Linked DNA regions of Xenopus tropicalis. The protein of the gene in region 3 interacts with the protein of the main gene of each other region in a biochemical or structural test. Links are inferred from orthologs where the notes say so. Each region holds a gene or a part of one and is shown on either strand. Other genes may lie near its edges.

Region 1 (4,174 bases), on a different chromosome or scaffold from region 3:
AGAGATGGCTGCCTGTTCTAGAAAATGTGAAGTAAGTGACCAAGTAAATATTTGTTTTTACTAAACAATAGGAGGACTATTGAGCAGTATGCTTTAAAATTTTGACTTGCATTCTCTTTTAAAGAATGTTTCAGCGTTAGGGTGACTGACCAAACTATAATACAATAGAATTCTTATTAATCCACACTAGAATAGTGCACTTTGAAGCTCTTTATTGATATTGGCAAATTAAAATAGAATAAATTAACAAGTATTCTCAAAAATGTTTTGTACAAAAATACTGTCAAAATTTCCTAAAAAGCCTTCAACGCAGTAGTATTTCCATGAACTAAATTAACTATTAAGCACAGTGTCAAACATTGAGAGAGTTAAAAAAAAAAAAAAAAAAAAAAATTGGGTGAAATGTTCCAAAAACCATCTTACCCATCTCATGGATTTATACTAGAAAAGGGAAGGAGGGGCAATTATGGCAAACTAAACAAACAGAAGGACTTTTCCAGCAAGGTTTAGCTCACATTTGTGAAACCGCCACTTTAGAATATGATAGATTAAATGAAGCATCATGGCAGTATTAGTGCAGCAAGTCTGCCTTTAAAGGCCCATGCAATCAACAACTGTATTATATCAAGTTGTTACAATGATGTGCATGTGGGTGGGGAAGTTTTAACATGGTTGTTTAACAAAACTCTAAATAAAAAGTAAAGGCTCAGTTATGGAAATTGTGGTATTGGGGACAAGAAAACGTGAAAAAAAAATCTGTACAGATCGTAGCAGACTCTGGAAGCAAGGTTTTGTGCCCATAAAGGAATGTTCAAAGTCTTTGTATACTCTTAATACACACCTAACAGCTTACTCTGTTAGGCTGTTGTTTACAAACAAAGTCTGTCATAAAATCAAACTCGTTCTGTCCAAGCCAAAGCTCAGGTAGTTCTTTTATACGATCCAAACCCATTTCTATCACCAAGGACATTAGGACTTCCTCATCTATAAAGTCAGTGTCTATTACACTAGGAGGCAGCATAGCTGCAGGGACGTGGCTGACTGAGGGAGGCATGCCAGTGCTGTGCTTTGGATTACAGTCTCTAAAATGCTGGTTTGTCCCATTTATCTGATTTGCAGGGTGCAATTCCGGGATATAGTGGTTGTGTGGGTAGGGGTGGTGAGTAAAATATTGGTTGTTCAGCTTCTGTAACTGCATGCTAGCAGTCAGTTGAGCCCCTTGATTTGGGACAGGTCCCATAAATGGCGAGTTAAATCTAGATGCTGGTGCCATGCTGCCATTTGGATGTCCACCATTTACATTCCCAGTGACAATGGCATGTCTGATGCTATTGTTAGCGTTTATGTTCCCTGGTCCATAGTGCATGTGTTCTCCCATTAGGCTGTTAAAGGTGTGTTGCTGCGGGTGATGATGATGATTGGAAAATTGACCCATCCCCATTCGATGAGCTGGGTGATGAAGACCATTAGTTCCATCTTGAAACCGGCTATGATTCATGGCCATCATGTGGTCTGCCATTGCAAACCTAAGGACAGGGAAAAAAAATATGAACCTCAAAATACACAACAGGCAAATGACAAACGATTATTATAAGGGCAGAAAGGAAGTATTTTCTGAACAAAGCGGTTTCACCTTTATGCTGTTAACAGTCATGCCCTAAACAGCTTTACTACTAATGGAAGCATTTAATACACAGTGCTACTTTCCACTGTGCAGACATTGAAAATGTATGCATTGCACGTTAATGCAGATTAACCTACACTTCTGCTCATTTCCTGTATTGTATACCGATAGAAACGGTTTTGTATGGACATCATTTAATCCTCAAGTTACCAACATTACAAGAATTACACTGCAGTAGGTCTGCATTAATATAATGCATTCTCCCCACCATGGATTTGCTTCATTTTTAAATGACACCAAAACATCATTCATCTTGATACAAAAAAAAAAAAAAAAAAAGCCAGCTCAAATCTATACACATACCAATATTAGAGTATATATATATATATATATATATATATATATATATATATATATATATATATATATATATATATATATATATATATATATATATATATATATATATATATATATATATATATATATATATATATACACACACACACACACACACACACACACCTTTGGATTATTGTCACAAAACAAAAAAGAGGCTATGCATTTATCTGGTCAACTGATCAGCTTAACAGTGCTTTGCAACTTGAACCCTTGAAATTCCTTACACGCCTTTAAACAAACAGCTCTGATGAAAACACACACTCTCTTACACAAATGCGAGAGAACCGAAATATATAATAAATCGGATACAGCCCTGGAAATAGAACAGCCACGGTCGAATTCAACAATGAAAACAAAGATACTCAAGCCTTCTCCATATGCTAGAGGCTGCAGCTTGGCTGTGTTTATTTGAGGATCTTTCATGCAACACTTTCAATAGCCCATTACTGCACGTTTCTTTTCAATCCTCTAACATGTCTGCCTCTGTTAAAAGGATTTCAGATCCACTAACAAATGCGGCCAAAGTGGCATGTTGATACACACACCAATTACCCAGCGCTGTAACACGGCACAGACTGCTTACTTTGATAACTTACTGAATCCACACAAAGCCATCCACAAAGCTACTTTTAACACATTCCACAGGATTTCAATAATCGTGTACTTTTTCTGGATACCATAATACATAAGGTATGCAATCCTAAAATAATCATGATTAAAATAAAAATACAGGCACGCCACTCACGAAAACAACGCATTTTACCAACCGAAACTAAATTATTTATAGCGCACGACACTGCCATCTGGCTTACATCTCAAAGCCGAACACTAACAAAAAAAAAAAAAAGACAGAAGGGAGTAGAGACGACGAAGAAAGGGCTCTGCAGAATAGTCCGAACGGTAGAATAATAAAAGCTTACCCCTTGAGAATGCTCCAAAAATGCTGACTGCAGAGGATCAGGAGCCAGATCCCAACATGTAGGAGAGAAGAGCAACTCTGCCTTTTGTAGTCTGCTAAATGACCCTGTAATACGATATTGCTGCAGCACAGAGTTCCTCTATTTCTACCACCACCACACATCAGTACTTGCCAACAATGAACTGTGCTTCTTTTTCCCAGCTTGTTTAATATAGGATTGCGAAAGGGAGGAGCGAAGTGGAGAAGGGGGAGGGGAAAACCCTAGTGAGGAAGCATAAGTAAGACCTGGATAAGCGCAGCCGGAACTGAAACAGAGCCTGCTATCCCTATGCGGCTACAGCTTCTCTTTCCTTATGACACGTGCGTTTAATCACTTGAGCTTGATTTGCTAGTCAGTAGGTTTATTTATTAACTTTTCGTTGCTCAGAAAAAAATACAGTTTCATTTGAGAGCGCCGTTAGGTAGTGGAGAATGAAAGACAAAGATTTATTTATATCTCACAGAGCTAAAAATCCATCTGGATAAATCATGTGGTCATGCTGCAATTTTATGTATATGTTTATTCTTGTATAAATATGTGACTGACGATCATCAAGTTGTATAAAGCCTTCCGAAATAAATCAAGTTTTACTAAGCCTTAAATCAAGGTATTTTGATGTCTTATGTTACACACATAAAATGAGAGACTTGCTTCATGGGCAAAGTCATGCTAATCAATCTTAATTGTCCTTGGCCCTGTGACCAACTATGCCTCAACTATGCATCATCCAGAACTGCTGGTAGTTGATGCATAGTTAAACATAAGAGTCTTTCATCTTTGGTTTTAAGGCAGCGTTATTTGTGTAGCATTAAACATGAAAATACATTCTGATTTCAGGCTTTACACAACCTAAATTAATTACTTATATAAAATGCAATTAGAAGGGTTAAACTGATGCATTGCAGTGCAACATTTAAGTTGCACTGCTTTTAATTCAGCTTATCTTGCATTTTTAAATGTATTGTTGTGCTACAACTCCCGTAATGCCTGTGCTAGACAAAGTTTTGTCAGGGTGTGTTAAGACTTAAAATTAAGCAACAGCTGTAGATGTGTATGTTGTACTTTGTATAATACAGATAGGCAGCTTACAGCTCCATCTATGTATAAGTTGATCTTGGTTATAGCCTTGTTACATTCACAATTATGTTCTAGATTCTTATGCAAATAGATTCTAGATGCAAATTTTACG
Region 2 (3,653 bases), on a different chromosome or scaffold from region 3:
AGCAGCATTTGTGCAGTAAGGTCTATAAAGACAGGGGGAAACAATCTTGCTCTGAAAGAACTTGATGTGTAATTCTTGAAAGGAAATAAAGAAAAAAAAAAAGACATTTCCACATAATTTGGGGACCAGGCGGTATTGGTTTTGCCTACGGCAGGATCGGCTGCTGCTGAATACTTGTTTGTGCTTTAAATTTTTTTTCATGCAATTAAGGATAGTGGTTATTTTACATAGAACAGACTAATTTAATTGCACTTAACCCAGTGTATGCCTGAAGGACACGCAATGCCTTGTGCTGGAGGGACAGGGTCACTAGTAAAACCAAATGATTGCATATAGTTTTGTTCAGGGAATTAGTAAGTTGTTTATGTAATTATGTAATTATTTAGATATGTTTATATATTATTTTTGTGTGATCTATAGCCCATAACCTACCTCAGAGTATCTCAGTAAGAGATCTATTATCCAGAAACCCATTATCTAAAGGCTCAGAAAATAAAGAAATACCATTTTCTCAAGTCCAATGGTCCTTGGTTGCAAAACATTCCCATTTGGTTTTTTAATGTTTAAATAGTAACCATTAGAAATATTGCCCTAAATTATGGAAAACCATTTAAGCATAGAACCGTAGGTCCTATGCATTCTTTATAATACATCACATATCTGTAATATTGTATGTGAAATAATGTTTATTATCAGATTTCAGCTCCAAATACTTGCTATAATGTAACTCTGATTAATACATGGAAAACCATTTTGGGAAATGAACATGAACATCATTTTGCCAATGTATGGACCTCCATCAGCCAAAATACCAATTTTGTTGTGCTGGCCCTCAACATGGAAGCATGAATTAATACATTTAGCTTTCAAACTTTTAGTGGCAGTACCTCATTCTTTTGTACAAAATAGCTCAGATACTTTTCATTGTAATAAAACCTCACCTTGGCCCTGACCATGCATAGCATATAACTGAATCAGCTTAGCAAGGCATCTCTAATGCACATGAAAATAAGCACCCCATTGGAATCAGTCCATCGCATCTTTAAACAAAGAAAAAACAAATGCAGATGTTTCCAATGTTCTCAATGAGGTCTAGATCCAAACAACTGGGGCATTGTAAGTATGGAATCTAGAGATTCTAATGACCTTTCAAAAGTTCATGGTCTGTGAAATGTTCTGCAGTATGACGTTTCCAGCTAAGTAATTATCCCTACAATCCACATTTCAGTACATAATCCAAACTTTTTGTCAGTTATAAGCATGGGACACAGGTTATTTGTATATATTTATTCTGTTCTTCTTTTTCCTTATTATAATGTCTCATACTTATTATACTCTTGTTTTAGCAAAATAAACACAAACTTCAGCCAGTTGGCCCATGAAAAACTTACAGCATAGTAATTGTAATGAAGAAAGCTGGCTCTTTCATTGGCTGTTAACTTTTTAACTCCACATTAATATACGGCTCCTCTCTGTGCTTAGCGAATGGGTGCCATTCATTCATTAGCATCTTGATTGCCCATTCTGGCCCATAGTTCTGTATATAATGTCATTACAATTCTGGCTGTCTGAAGCACCTGACAGTATTAGGAAACGGTGGGTTACATTTTAGCCGAAACTGTTGGTTGCATTAAGTGCTGGGTTGATAAAGATCCAGGTGTAAAAGGTAAAATGCTTATAATTAAGAAATAACATATTTAATTACCCACTATTGCAAGTAATGATAATTATTGTCCCTTACAAAGCTCAAATTTCATACTGGATAAACCAATACAGTTTTTTTTGAAGAGCAGATAAATTATGTGACAAAAATGTAATTTTCCCCCAGCTATGATTAACTAAAAACATGGTTAGAAGCTTAGACTAGAGAGAACTCTATAGGGTTAGGAGAGTTGGGAGTTTAGAAGAACCTTAGGTACAGTGCAATATTAACATGTTTTTTTGCGTTTTTTTAATAGAATTTTTCATTACCTCATACAGTATGATATTTAAAAACTCATTTACATTGGTGTGCAAGGTGCAGAGCGAAAAATAAGTAGTCACCGTAGAAAGCAGACTAACCATTAATTTTATGCCTGCATTTTTGAACTTATAGCAGCAGTGAAGGATCCCAAATGAAGTTAAGTGACAGTTCAGAATCCTCTTTTGCCTTAAAGCATCTGGATCCATTTGGGGCTCTTATGATCCCACAGAGATCAGTGGACACTAATTATATTAAACTCAGCTAAGAAGGAAGGACACACATGCCTGTTTATTCCACACAGAGAATGTCCACAAAGGTGGAGCATAGAGACTGATGCTTGTAAGCACTTGTCTCCTGGTACACATGTGGGACTTCCTAACCTTCTGACCAGAGGTTTAACTGGGGCTAAAGAAGCCTTGGTGTATTTGCAAAGTTTGCTCATGTCATCAGGCACAGAATTACAACCACAGAAAAGGGTTTGCTGAAGCAGAACATCAGAACTTAAACAACATTTAATTATAGTAAAACAATGCACAAGAAAGACTAGAACTGGATCAATCTTCTAAGAAACGGCTTCGTTACAGAGAAATATAACCACAACGAAAACCTTTTAACAATGTCATTTCAAAGGTGACTTCCGAAAATTCATACTAAATAAATTTGAACTGATTTTTTCTTTCTTTTGTGGCTTTTTCCTTTTCATTGGATATTTTGATGGCATAGAAGTGAATAAAACAGAATGATTGTAGTGTAACAGGATTGATATGAAATGTACTCCTTGTGTATATTATATGCCTTAGGTACTGAGGAAGTCACTAATTTGGAGGTGTCTCGTTATTGAGACAAACTTGCAAAAGCCCCTGAATCCCAATTCACAAATTGGTTATTCGTTTGTCAGGGGATATTTCACATCTAACACATAAGCCCACGACCTTTAATTAGAATTTTGCAGTTTGTTTTATGCCCCTTGAGGCTGACACCTTGAAAAAAACGTTCCTTGGTTTCTTATTGCTAATAAGCATATTCCTCCTACCCTCTGGTATTTTGTAGAAAATGATGCAAATATACTTAATTGCAGCAGTGGCAATAATTTGTTAGCTGAGTATAGGATCAGGCAGATGTAAAAATGATCTGATTAGATCTATGATCACATCACAATCAGATAATACCACCGTGTACTGAATGAGAGGTTCTTTTAATTCTTTCTCATCCAGGAGGGAAGCAAAATGTCCCGTCTGTCTTTAACCCGCTCACCGGTTTCTCCCCTGGCTGCCCAAGGAATACCTCTTCCAGCACAGCTTACCAAATCCAATGCTCCGGTACATATTGATGTAGGAGGGCACATGTATACCAGCAGTCTGGCCACCTTGACAAAGTATCCAGATTCTAGGTAAGATGAGAATTTTTCTCATATATATGTATATTGTATGTCTTTTATGCATTTTCAGGGCAGTTCAGAACAATTAAAATATACTGATTGTTCATGTTTAATTAAATTCTGTAAATGTATTGTTTAAACAGGTGCCTTTATTGTCCCTTTGTTGTGTTTTAGCACAAGGTAGATTCTGAAACCAAGTCATTGTAAAACTGCAGGTGGATTAAATGTGCAGTATTCATGATTTAAAATACAATTATGTATAGCAGAAATGAAAGGGTACAGGAAAGCAAGGGACATTAAGCTTAGAACATT
Region 3 (4,315 bases):
GGAATATTTACACTGTAATGCTTATTTTACAGTAAAATTCCTTACCTTGTTTTATATCACACGGTAATAAAACTTTATATTAATTAGTTCAGCACGTACCCAATAAGGAACCACCGCATACATCTATATTTTGGAGTTTCACATCATTAGCAGTTCTGAAAGCACCTACTCCACCCAAAAATGTTAATGGCGATTTAATGCGAGGGCTATTGATCTGGGGGCTTAGTGTTAAGGGGTCGCTCCCACCCTCTCTCCCCTCTAAACTTTAATGTTTGATCCTCGGGTGAATATTCACATTCAATTAGCTGGGCGGTCATGGTAATCGTGCCGATGGGGCCTGGGTCTGTCTGGCCTCCCTGCATGGCGCTGGCTGGAGATGGACCCTTTTCAAGTTGCCAGTCAATCTGCATAGGCTGGGGAATAAGGCTGAGCTCAATTTCAACCTGAATGAGAGAAAAAACAACTATTTATACAAGACTAAAGCGAGAACACAATGAAGGAACCTTAGTCTTGTTTTGTAGATACTTCTAAAATCATCATGACATTGGCTTTAGACCCCAGTAGTGGCTCCAGACACCTTCTTTAGTCAGATGGCTATTCTCATCTCATTTACCACCACCCAGGGTTTTATCATTATACCCACTGTGCCCCTATGAGCTAAGCTAGAGACTACATACTGACATACCGAGAGAAGAGACAAGAAGCACATTATCTGCTTTGATAATTACACCAGACAAATCTCGTCTCCCTAATAACCCATTGCAGCCCAGAATAGGCCACTCATTCTCCCAGTGTAATGTGATTTAGTACAATTAGCTCTGCTCCCACAACCTAGTGTCAGAATGAAACTCATCTCATTAGATTCAACATCATTTCCTCATCTCCCTTCAATTAAAAGGTTCTCTGAGTGCTACATCTAGAAATTAGTGGGGGATATATTTTTTATTATGCAGGTTATAACCCTGAAATAATTGCCAAGTGGCATAAATCATGTATACAGTGCCATTCTTTTTTTCTATGGTATCTGTGTGCAAAAACAGAAATAGAACTGATGAACAGCAACACATGGAAAGGAATAAAATGTAACGGCCTTGGCAAATATGAAATCTATTGATGATTTGTGCGAAAAACATGGATATTTTCTGTATGGAAAGGAATGTATATATTGTTATAGGGACTGATATTGGGGCTATGGGATCCCAAAGTGCTCCCCTTATGCTGACTGGGAGGCTGGGAGCAGTGGGGCAGTTGCCTGTATGCTAATGAGCACATCAGGACTTGGTACTGGGAAAAAAAGAAACTTTCCACCATTAGAGGGAGATCTGAGTGCACCAAAAGCATCGCTCCAGCCTCCCTCTCTGTAAGGCACACACAGGGACTGCTGCACACAGGACCAGGGACAAGGAAGAACTGGAAAGGTCTCTTCCCAGCCACCCATGAAAATGCTCTGGAAACTAACGGATAATATCAAATATGAGGAGTGTGAGGTAAGGGCCCTGCAGCACTTTTTCTAACAGTTATATGTCCCCCTCCGATCTCTACCTTGTGTGTGTACAGAGTTATTCTGTAAGGTCTGCCGGAGTTTAAAGTACCTGACTCTCTGAGCCCTTTTACTTGTCGGACAGGAACCTTGCACTGCCCTGTAAATATGGCTCAGATTCAGAAATACGTATTTATATACACACTCCCAAACTTGTCTCTCTAATATTACTTTTTATTCATTCAACAACATTGTATATGCTTTTGTTCCCTATGGATAATATGTTGACAAATGAACAAATTATTTAGTTATTGATATAGTTGTGATTTTTTTATACACTAGTTATTTATATCACTATATATATATATATATAGTGTATATAGTAAGTATATATGTATATCCCCCAATTTTCTAAACAGGTAGGGTCGGATTTGTAGCTTTCCAAGGAACGCAGAGTGCAGGGCAAATAGTGCAAAGTGTGTGAGTGACGGATGTGAGTTCAGCATTGGAGCTCACCTGAGAGAGACCCTGATACAGAGGACATGTTGGTGGGGGCTGCCACTGAGCATGGATCACTGTCTTGTTAGGACTTGCAGGCAGCGGCACTGAGTCGCACTCACACCAGACAAATTTGCTAGCATTACCCAAGCGGTTGGTTAAAACACTAAACACAAACACAAGTATATATATATATATATCTAGTGTGTGCTTCATTGTACCTTCATTTTATTTTTATCTGTATTTTTAGGAGACTAAATTAAGCGCAGTTATACATGAAGCTGCCACAATGCAGCAGGGGCACAGCACTGAGATTTCTGATGTTTTACCTGGACTGAAAGCTGAATATTTTGAAAGGCTCTGGTGTCTCAGGTAAAGGATCAGACAGGAGGGAGAGGGCAGAACAGGGTCCCTGTGCATTAGGCAAAGGCTCTTGTAATCTCCCTTTCAGCGCCTGCTTGAAGCCTTATTTTGTTAGCTGTGCATATTTGTACAGGGACATGCAGGCGGTAGGTGGCTCTTGTTGTTCTAACCCCAGCCAGCCAGGAGTTGTGTATAGTTGAACATGACATATTTTGGAGGAGTTGTTTGCTGGAGTGGTAGAGCCAGTCTGACGGGTTTCGAGTGGGAGACTAGGAGAGCCGGGGACGGGCGGAAGGGAGGCAGATTCGGAGCCGGGCAGAACCGAGCCGCGCTGGACTCAGCTCACCCCCTCACTATTGCGGACTGGGGCAGAACCGTTGCCGCTGCGCTGTGCGAACTATAGCATCTACTTCCCAGGCAAAGCGCCCTATCTGCACCCTGGATCTGCCAACGGGGACAGGAAATCAGAGCTAAACAAAAAGAAGAGAGTTGCCCTGCTCCCTTCCGGGCCCTGCATGCTCCCACAAGCACAGCAGCAAGGGTGGATTTCTCTTTTGTCTCACACTGAGCTACAGGGCTTTGCTGGGCTGAGGAAGGAGCCCTGTCTCACATGTTTAGCCCCAAGCAGCGCAGTGGTACAGGTTATTCGTGTACGAACTAAGGACACAGGTTAAGAGCTGCTGAGATCTGGGGCAGGAGGACATACAGAGAGCTGCCGGGCAGAATTTTGGAGGCTGCCATTTTAAGCTGGTTCTGTTCTGTGGCACTTGTGGTTGCAGCCCATAGGGCTATGGATCAGTCACAGAGGGCAGGAGATTCGGGCCCCTCAGATACAGACATGAAAAGCAAAGGGTTGAACTCCACAGAGAACATTCCCGTCCCCAGCAGCAAGAGAAGGACCTCAGACATGGACATGTCATTTCCAGGATATTCCCAGGATTCCCAGGTGCCAAATCCTTTTATCTGCCCCTCACCCCCCTTGCCTGTCACTGCTGATCCCCATACTCTGGAGCTGTTTCCCTTTTGCATGCCCTGCAACCTTTAAAATGTCCCCCCCTTCCTTGTGATTCGTCAGCCAGCCCCCCTCTCTCCCTCACTCTCTGAGTCTCTCCCTCCTCTTCCTCCCCCTCCACCTCTGATTAGATACACTGCCTCTTCATTCAATGGACGTCATTTAGAACAGGGCTCTGCCTTGAGTTGCCTCTTCGGTTCACGCTCGATTTCCAAGCATTCTTCCTTTATTAAGTATCGGTGTAATATTAATAGTCATGAATATGAGGGCTGCAAGGCTGGCAGCCTGCGCCTGTTAGTAGGAAAAGCCTGCGGAGCTGCATCCAGGAACAGTGTCTAGGGGACAAGGATTAAGGAAACCCAGAAATCCAAACTTTGCCTAAAACATCCCTCCCTGAATAGCAATTGTGCTCTCAACCCAAAATGAAGAAGAATTTCCTCCACATCTGATGGATTATATATGCTTATTATGCCTACAGAGCCTTGGTCCTTATGATTTTGTAGGGACCAGTTTCTAGAGCTGGGATTTTATTTTCATTTTTTTTCCACTTCTCTAAATTTTTTTTTTCACATTTCTTCTTTGATCAACGTTTTCTTTCTGATTTCTCTTCTTCAATTTGTATATATACTCTGCCCAGATGTTGGTTCACAGTTTTTCCGCTATGGTGAGTGGCTTATTTCTAGCAATTATACAGTATTATTTCTGATCTGGGCGATTTTTATCTTCTTTTTTTTCCCTTTTTTTTACACTGAACCTTTGCGATTGCACAGAAATTGTTATCCTTTTATTTGTTTGGATCACCCTCAAATTTTTACCCCCCTCCTTTTTTAATAACAAATGCTGTATTTATTTAATTCACTGAGTGTTTTCTAATTTTTTAAATTAGTTTTTAATGTTTTTAAAGAGAAATATTCTGCTCTTTCGATGCTAAAGCTAAACACATGTTACAGCGCTGTGCCCTT

Evidence for each region.
Region 1: the proteins of tfap2a (region 3) and cited2 form a complex in vitro, tested with the Homo sapiens proteins (2 studies listed by BioGRID, with this or other methods). The link is inferred for Xenopus tropicalis from reciprocal best matches to the Homo sapiens genes TFAP2A and CITED2.
Region 2: the proteins of tfap2a (region 3) and kctd15 form a complex in vitro, tested with the Homo sapiens proteins (2 studies listed by BioGRID, with this or other methods). The link is inferred for Xenopus tropicalis from reciprocal best matches to the Homo sapiens genes TFAP2A and KCTD15.

The regions. Positions count from the first base shown.
Region 1 is NC_030681.2:63,256,119-63,260,292, reverse strand, and holds cited2 (cbp/p300-interacting transactivator 2), read right to left. Parts: upstream 2,947-4,174; intron 1,527-2,946; coding exon of another isoform or gene 1,520-1,526; coding exon 842-1,519; 3' UTR 198-841; downstream 1-197. UniProt on the Homo sapiens protein: Transcriptional coactivator of the p300/CBP-mediated transcription complex. Acts as a bridge, linking TFAP2 transcription factors and the p300/CBP transcriptional coactivator complex in order to stimulate TFAP2-mediated transcriptional activation.
Region 2 is NC_030680.2:67,909,091-67,912,743, reverse strand, and holds part of kctd15 (BTB/POZ domain-containing protein kctd15), read left to right. Parts: intron 1-2,425; exon of another isoform or gene 2,426-2,593; intron 2,594-3,177; 5' UTR 3,178-3,189; coding exon 3,190-3,353; intron 3,354-3,653. UniProt on the Homo sapiens protein: During embryonic development, it is involved in neural crest formation. Inhibits AP2 transcriptional activity by interaction with its activation domain.
Region 3 is NC_030682.2:90,359,772-90,364,086, reverse strand, and holds the start of tfap2a (transcription factor AP-2-alpha), read left to right. Parts: upstream 1-1,366; 5' UTR 1,367-1,436; coding exon of another isoform or gene 1,437-1,442; coding exon 1,443-1,487; intron 1,488-2,298; exon of another isoform or gene 2,299-3,131; coding exon of another isoform or gene 3,132-3,287; intron 3,288-3,318; exon of another isoform or gene 3,319-3,990; coding exon of another isoform or gene 3,991-4,017; intron 4,018-4,315.